2 linked regions of the Callithrix jacchus genome follow. The protein of the gene in region 2 purifies or fractionates together with the protein of the main gene of each other region. This does not show direct contact. Links are inferred from orthologs where the notes say so. Each region holds a gene or a part of one and is shown on either strand. Other genes may lie near its edges.

Region 1 (4,143 bases), on a different chromosome or scaffold from region 2:
GCAGGGGACCCACCATCCTGCTCCAGACCCCATAATGGCTGAGAGCCCCAGGCACGGGGACGGGGAGGCTGGCCCCACCCCCACCACGGCAGCTGCAGCTTCCAGGGGTTGCCACAAGCGGCGAAATCCAGGCACCCCTGCTGCACATGGGGGTCATCTAGAGGTTCTCAGTCAAGGCTGCCGACCTCTATGCCTGCCCCCAATTCTGCAGGTCAGGCATCTGACTTCACCACCAGGCCTTACCACGAGGAGAGCAGGGGACCGGGTGGGGGCTCTGGGAGCCAAGTAAGGAGCCAAGCGAAGCCCTCCAGACCTCAACACAGCCGTCCTCGCCGCTCCCCGCAGCCCCGTCCAGGCCAGCTCCCCCTGTGCGGCTAAAGCCACGCGCCCTCCCACCGTACAAGGTGCCGGCAGTCCTTCCTCAAAGAGGCAAGCGCTCCGGGTCACTGCACCCTCCTCCCCCATGACCTAGCTTTCTCCGGTTCGGACCCTATTCCTTCTCCAGAGGTCACCTGGCCCCACCCAGAAGCCCAAACCAGTAGACCAGCCCTGCCCTATCACTGCGGCTTCTCCAGCATCCAAAGAACGTGGAGGGTCACCCCCCAAAACAGCTGCCAACGTCCAACAACTAAGTCATCTGTTGCCACTCCCTGGGACTGGGAGACGTGAGGTCAGTTTCTTGGCCAGTTTCCTGCGTCTAGCCCCCACACCACAAACACCCCAGGTGTGAGACGGAGCCCCGCGCGAGACCGCGGGAAGGGGGCCGCTACGGGGTGCCGGCAAGGAGAGGGGCGCGACCGGCGGGCGGAGGGGACGGAGGCGCCGGGAGGGCGATCGCGAGGCGCGCAGCCGGGGTGCAGGAAGCCGGAGCGCGCGGGAGGGAGCGGGGAGCCGGGAGCGGGATGCCGAATTCGGCGGGGGGCGGGGAAGCCCCTGATTGGGGCGCGGGAGGCGTGATGTCACGTCCGGCGGGGGAAGCCCTGCCTCGCGCACCCTCCGCCCCCGTCCCCGCCCCCACAGGTGGTGCCACCGCCCCGGGCGCTGGGCGTGGGGGCCTGCCCTACGGGACCCCGGCCACCGCCCCGCGCTCTCAGGCTGGCTCTGCCGCCTCCCTCCGGGGATCGATAGAGTCGCGCGGCCGGCGCGGCCCTCAGGGCCCCCGAGAGCCGAAGGAGCGCCCGGTGCGCCCCGGCTCGCGCCCCCGCGCCGCGCCCCGCCCCGCCCTGCCGGGTGCTCCCAGTCCTTCCCCCGCCCCTGCGCTCCCGCCCCGCCCCTCTCCCGCGGCCGCCGAGGGGCCGGGCCGGCGGCGGGGGAGGTGCCGAGCCGGGACTGCGCTCGCCCGCTGCGCTCTGGGCTGCCCGAACGAGCAGCCGGACCTCGCGCCCCGCGCGCTCCGCGCCACCGCCGGCTTTTGTTGTCTCCGCCTCCTCGGCCGCCGCCGCCTCTGGACCGCGAGCCGCGCGCACCGGGACCTTGGCTCTGCCCTTCGCGGACGGGAGCTGCGCAGGGCCCGGCCGGGATCCGGGAGAGGCGCGGGTGGGGGCCCGGGGGCGCCGCCGGCCCCGCCATGGAGCTCCGGGCCCGAGGCTGGTGGCTGCTGTGCGCGGCCGCCGCGGTGGTCGCCTGCGCCCGCGGGGACCCGGCCAGCAAGAGCCGGAGCTGCAGCGAGGTCCGCCAGATCTACGGAGCCAAGGGCTTCAGCCTGAGCGACGTGCCCCAGGCTGAGATCTCGGGTGAGTGAGGGCGCGGCGCGGGGACCTCGGGCTTCGGGCTCCGGACCTCCGCGCGCCCGGGATCTCCTCTGCGCCCCCTGCTCTCCTCCCTGCTCTTCCCGACACGGTTTCTCGCCCCCGGCGCGGGATCCTGCCGCCTGCGCCCCGCCGCCCGGCTCCGAGTGGCCCCCTGCGCCGCGGCTCCTCCGCAGACCCACGGCCTTGCCTCCGAGCCCCGCGCCGCCTCCCTCTCCTGGGTCCCCTCCGCTCCGCTCGGGCGTCCCCCGCCCCTCCCCGCCCCCCGCACGCCGGCCCCTTCCCCGCCGAGCTGTTCTCGCCGGGCTGCGGGCCGGGCGGTCCCCGGCTGGCTCTGGGCGCTCCTCCCGGCCCACGGCTGGAGCTGGGCGTCTTCTGCCCGCCGCTCGGCCCAGCGCGCCTGCCGGCCGGGAGTCCCAGCCCCCGGGTCGGCTTCGGGGCAGCGCGGACCCCCTCTCCTCTGTTCAGCCCTCTCTGGGAGGCGTCTCGGTCCCGCTCGGGGATTCTTGTAGGGTCCCCGGCGCAGCCTGGGTGGGTTTTATAAGCGGACCCCCTGCAGCGGGGAGGGGGCCTTGCGGAGGGGCGGGGAGGGAGCTGGGCGCTTCTCTGCGGGCGGAACGCCGCCGCCTCGAAGGGATTCCTACCCAAGAACTTGTGCGCGCTGGCCCCCGCCTGGCACTTGGGCGGCCTCGCGCTGCGAGTCCAGCTGCAGGTGGTCGGCGCGTTGGATCCCGCCCAGGGGCCGTGTCATTTCTTTGTAAGAACAGCGGTCCTCCTGGCGCCCCCTAAGCCCTGCAGCCGCCTGCGGCTCTGCCTCTTCCATTCCTGTGGCCCGGAGGAGCTCTGGGGACCGACGTGTACCGGTGGCTCAGTGTTCTGAAGACCTCTTGGAGCCCAAGCTTCACTCTCCCACGTGTGGGGACCACCCTGGACCTGTACCCGGTGTCAGGGACCTAGTGGGCAAGAACAGAACAGATTTCTTTTCGGGGGGGGGGGGGCGGGCTCCTCTGAAACCAGGGAGCGGGAGTGTGGGTGGAGGCCAGTCAGATGGGGACTCAGCGCAGGAATGCCCACGGCCCGGGGATTCTGAGCAAGAAGTAACAGTGCGTCCCGGTGAGGGGGGTCTGTGACCATACCTTGCTGCGGGGGATAGGAGAGGGTAGGAAGGAGGCAGCCGGGCTCTGGACCCCTGCCCCTCCGGGAGGAACAGAACCCACAGACAGCCCCTTGGCGGATCTTCTGATGTCCCCAGGCTGAGGTTCTTGTGAGAGAGGACCCCCTGCCCCCCCCCAGGAGGAACAGAACCAGCAGACAGCCCCTTGGTGGATGTCCCCATGCCCTTTTCCCAGCCTGAGGCTCTGCAAGGACCCCTCCAAAGCCCCAGGACAGGCCTTCCTGTGCCCCTCTCTGCAGAGGCAACCCTTTTATTTCCAGGCTGCCTCTCTCACCCCACTGGGCTCTGTCCCAGGTGGGGGGCACCCTGGGTGCCAGACAGCACAAAGCCCTGAGCTCTGTTGGGTTCGTGCCCTGCCCCCCCCTTCCCACACACAAAGAGGCATCCTTGGCCTTCCCAGTGAATCCCTCCCTGGCCACCAGGGTGGCAGGGTGGCTGAGCAGCTGCCCCTCCCAACCGAGAGTCTTGAACCCGGCCCTTTTTAGCACCTCCATGTCCTCTGGGCAGTCGCGTCCTTAGGAGCTAACCTATCCTTGCATCCAGAGGCCACTACTCCCAGTTAGAGAGACAGAGTGGCACAGTTTGGCCATCTTCCAAGGGTGAGAAGAGAGGGCAGGACAAGATGGAGAAGTTGACGTGGGCCGGGCCACAGAGCACAGATCTTTCGGCCCTTGGGTTGGGGAATGCAGTGGCTGAGGGACCCGGGACAGGCAGACTGTGTTGGTTTCTCTGTGTCTGGTGGCGGGGGTGCTGTCCACCCCTCATAGGAAGTTTGAACACCCTGCAGCTGTCTAAGCATGATGCTAGCCAGTGGCCATTGCCTGCTGCCAGGGTCCGGGGCGCCAGCCTCCTGCAGGCCTGCACTGCTCAGGGTTAGCACGTCTCCAGCCGGTGCTCTTCCGCCTGGAGCTGCTTTCCCTGGACCCCCTATGGCTGCAGAGGTGGGGAGTCACCTTCGGGGCCCAGGGTACAGAAGAGAACATGGGAGCCACGTGGGCCGAGGGAAACAGGGTGATCCTCTCCAGCCGCAGCAGTCCTGGGGCTGCCAAGCCCAGTGTCCCCTCCTGCTCTGTTGCTGCGCCTGAGCTCCGAGGGCTGGGCGCCCTCTGGTGGCCCCTGGGTGGCAGATCCTCCCAGGAGCCCTGGACCCTCAGTGGCCTGGTGGGCACCATACTCAGTCCTCTCTCTCCTGCATCTGGACTTCTCCAGGGGGACCTCCTC
Region 2 (3,511 bases):
CTTACACAGTGTCAGGTTACTTTCTTAGTAGTATTGTGTCTAATGCTGGTGGTAAAATCCTTTCTGAAGAGCAAATTAATGTCTCTAAAGCTGGCGGGCAAAAATTCTGCCCTTCCCTGGACATATACATCTCTTCTCCCAGCTAGAAGTAGAATCTGTTTCCCTTCTCCCTGAATCTGAGCTGGTCCTGTGACTTGTTTTTATCAACAGAATGCGGCAGAAGTTACCTTGCCAGTTCCAGGTCTACCTAGCTCTGTGAAGCTCAGTCTTCTTTTTTTATCTTTTAAATTATTTATCTTTTTTTCTTCCTAACAATAAACTTAGGAAGCTCAGTAGCTTCTGCTTTTGTTCTCTCAGAAGCACGCAGCAAAATGCAAAGTTCTGGTAAGATGCTAAGTGAGGACAGGCCAGGAGAGATGTGGCGGAAGCAGTGAAGTGCCCAAGCCAGCTTCCAGTGGAATGCAGTCCCAGGAGTGACCCCAGCCCTGAAATTAATGGACTTAAGCACCAGCTGTCTCTGCAGAGCCCTGCCAGGATTGCAGAATTATGAAAAGACAGTTGTAAACACAGCAGAAGAACACCAAGACATACGAAGATACTAGAGAGGATAACTGAAATGGAGTGGTCTAGAGTTAATGTCTGTGGAAGAATGTTCAAAGAAATGGGTTTTGTTAGTTCTATGGGCAATAAGAGAAGATAATTGTTTGTTTGTTTGTTTATTTTTTGAGATGGAGTCTTGCTTTGTCGCCCAGGCTGGAGTGCAGTGGTGTGATCTCAGCTCACTGCAACCTCCGCGATTCTCCTGCCTCAGCCTCCTGAGTAGCTGGGATTATATAGGCGTGCGCCACCACCCTTGTCTCTTCCTTCTCCTTGTCTGCTGGGTTCTGTATCATCTCCTTGCTGCCTTTAACTTCACTTTATGTTTCAGTTGTGACTATTACCTTGATTGGTTTCTAGTCTACCCTTCTCTTGATTTGATCCCTCTTCTTTTTTCTTTGACCACTGGCATCCCAACAGCTAAAACTAAAAAAACTTTTCTTTTTTTTTTGAGTCGGAGTCTCACTCTGTTGCCCAGGCTGGACTGCAGTGGCACAATCTCAGCTCACTGCAGCCTCCTCCTCCTCCCTGGTTGAAGACATTCTCCTGCCTCAGCCTCCCAAGTAGCTAGGACTACAGGTGTGCACCACCAAAAATTAGCCCAGCTAGTTTTTTTATTTTTAGTAGACACAGGGTTTCACCATGTTGGTTAGGGTAGTCCCAAACTCCTGACCTCAGGTGATCCTTCCGCCTCCGGCTCCCAAAATGTTGGGATTACAAGCGTGAGCCACTATGTCCAGACAACTTTTCTCTATTCTGATCCTCCCAAAGCCAGATTTCCCAAAAGCAAATACCATGTCCTAGTCAGTAAGTGCTCTTCTCTCCACCGTGGCTGTGTCTGCTTTTGATGCTTCTAGAATCTACCTACCATTGCAGTGCCCTCAAAGCCCCAGGAACATCGTCTAGATGTCTAAGTTGAAATGCCATCTAGCACAGATGGAACACAGATCCACCAACCTCATCTGAACTTTCTCCCTCACTTGCCTAAGGAAAAGATTTTGGAATGTGTGTCTCACAAGGGGAACATGTCCCCAACAGAGCTGCTCATCCTTAATTTTTAAACCCCCTTAGGTTCAGACTTTTTTTTTTTTTGAGACAGGGTCTTGCTCTGTTTCCTGGTCTGGTCTTAAACTCCTGGTCTCAAGTGATCCTCTTGCCTTGGCCTCCCAAGTGCTAGGATTACAGGCATGAGCCATCATGCCTGGCCTTAAATTCAGTCTTAGTGGAGTATGGACCGTCCTCACATGGAGGGCATCTTAAGAGTACCACCTACTTCCTCGCAGCTCACTGCTCATTACACCCAGCATGTTGCCAAGTCAGAATCATTTCATGTTCATCTTTTAGTAACCCACATTCTGCTTATCCAACTGTAGACTAGTTTAGGTGTCGGTCCTACCTCATGCCTGAATTACTGCCATTACTACTTCTTGGGGCTCACTCTTCCTACTACCCACTTTAAGTACTTGTTTTGTTCATGTCAGCCCATTTCAAGAAGTGGTTATGGAGAACATTTGGGAGCTGGGCCAAAGCAGCATTTCCACAGAACAAGCATCTGGAGGAACTGTCCTCCCTATTTCCTTTGCAGCCTTAGACCTGAAGAGGTTTGGCTTTGGCTTGCAGCTAACCAAAAAAATCTTAAAGCATCTGGCTGTCCTCCATGAGGTCATCTATATGTTTGGGTGGCAGAGCTCCTACATGAATAAGGTGAACGAATCCTGTGCTTATGGTAATAAACTACTTAATTTTCTTCCTTTAGGATTTAGACTTGACCTTTATAACATATGCAGTGTGCATGAGCACACATAAAAACTGAACTTTGATAACAAATAGTCCTTTTTATAAAAGCAGCCATGAGTTTCCTATAGCTCCTTTTAAAAAAACCCACCTCAGTGTTTTTTGCTCACTACACTAGAATTCAAGTACAGCAGCCCCTTGCTTACCGCTTCTACTTCCTTTAGCACTCTGTGCTTAAGACTAAGGTCCTCAAACACAGCTTCAATAACCATGTCGGCCTTTTCAAAACCTTGGTAATCAAGCTGCCCAGTCAAGTTGCTGAAGATGGAATCCCTTTCAAATGATGTTAGAGCTTTCTTCTTCACTTTATCATTCAATCTAGAAGAAACACATTCCTAGTTAGATGGGAAGAAAAGAAAACTAACATTTATTGAGTGTCCATAGGCCACAGTACGCATGTGTTCTTCACCAACTCTGTGAAGTAGTTGTTCTATTGCCCTTATTAAGAGAGAGATTTCGAAGTTGTTTAAAGAGTCTCAGAGGGACCTCTGGTCAAATAGCTTGATAAGGGAGGGTGCTAGAATTCGAAGACATGTTAACCCCCAAGTGCATACTCTCTCTACTACAGAATGCCTCCAAATGCCCAACTTACATAAACTAAATCACTCTTAAAGCAGTTCAATTTGCTGAGAAGAGTAAACAACATGAATACTAGAATGGCAAAACAAAAGAGCAGCTCTGATAATTCTCTACCTATGACAGGGGAAGCAGCTCAAGTGTGTGTTTGAGACCACATGGTTGAATATTTGTTTATAGCAAATATATAATTTTATGTTATTCTGTATTATTATAATCTTCTAAAGTGCAGAAACCAAGCATTATTTCCTATATTCTCTATCTACTTCCCACTCATTAGCTAGTAACACATTGCACTGATTACATAAAATATTAACTCAAGGTTTCTTTTTTCCCATAGGGAGTGGAAAAGGATTCCTGCTTTTTAGACATTTAACTGATTATTTTTCATTGCAAAGGGAAACAGGCTTTCTTAGATTCCATCTGACCATACTTTCAGAATAAACCACTAGAGTTTTCCTCTAAATGAAGAATGAAGCTAAACCCCATTCACTAATTTCCCTAACCAAAAGAAAAACTAGGGCCACAAGATAAATACAAAGGA

The links. The genes of interacting proteins can lie anywhere in the genome.
Region 1: the proteins of HADHA (region 2) and GPC1 purify together in Homo sapiens (co-immunoprecipitation; 3 studies listed by BioGRID and IntAct, with this or other methods). This does not show direct contact. The link is inferred for Callithrix jacchus from reciprocal best matches to the Homo sapiens genes HADHA and GPC1.

What each region holds. Positions count from the first base shown.
Region 1 is NC_133507.1:161,719,729-161,723,871, forward strand, and holds the start of GPC1 (glypican-1), read left to right. Parts: upstream 1-1,341; 5' UTR 1,342-1,567; coding exon 1,568-1,733; intron 1,734-4,143. UniProt on the Homo sapiens protein: Cell surface proteoglycan that bears heparan sulfate. Binds, via the heparan sulfate side chains, alpha-4 (V) collagen and participates in Schwann cell myelination.
Region 2 is NC_133515.1:89,079,284-89,082,794, forward strand, and holds part of HADHA (trifunctional enzyme subunit alpha, mitochondrial), read right to left. Parts: intron 2,710-3,511; coding exon 2,538-2,709; intron 1-2,537. UniProt on the Homo sapiens protein: Mitochondrial trifunctional enzyme catalyzes the last three of the four reactions of the mitochondrial beta-oxidation pathway.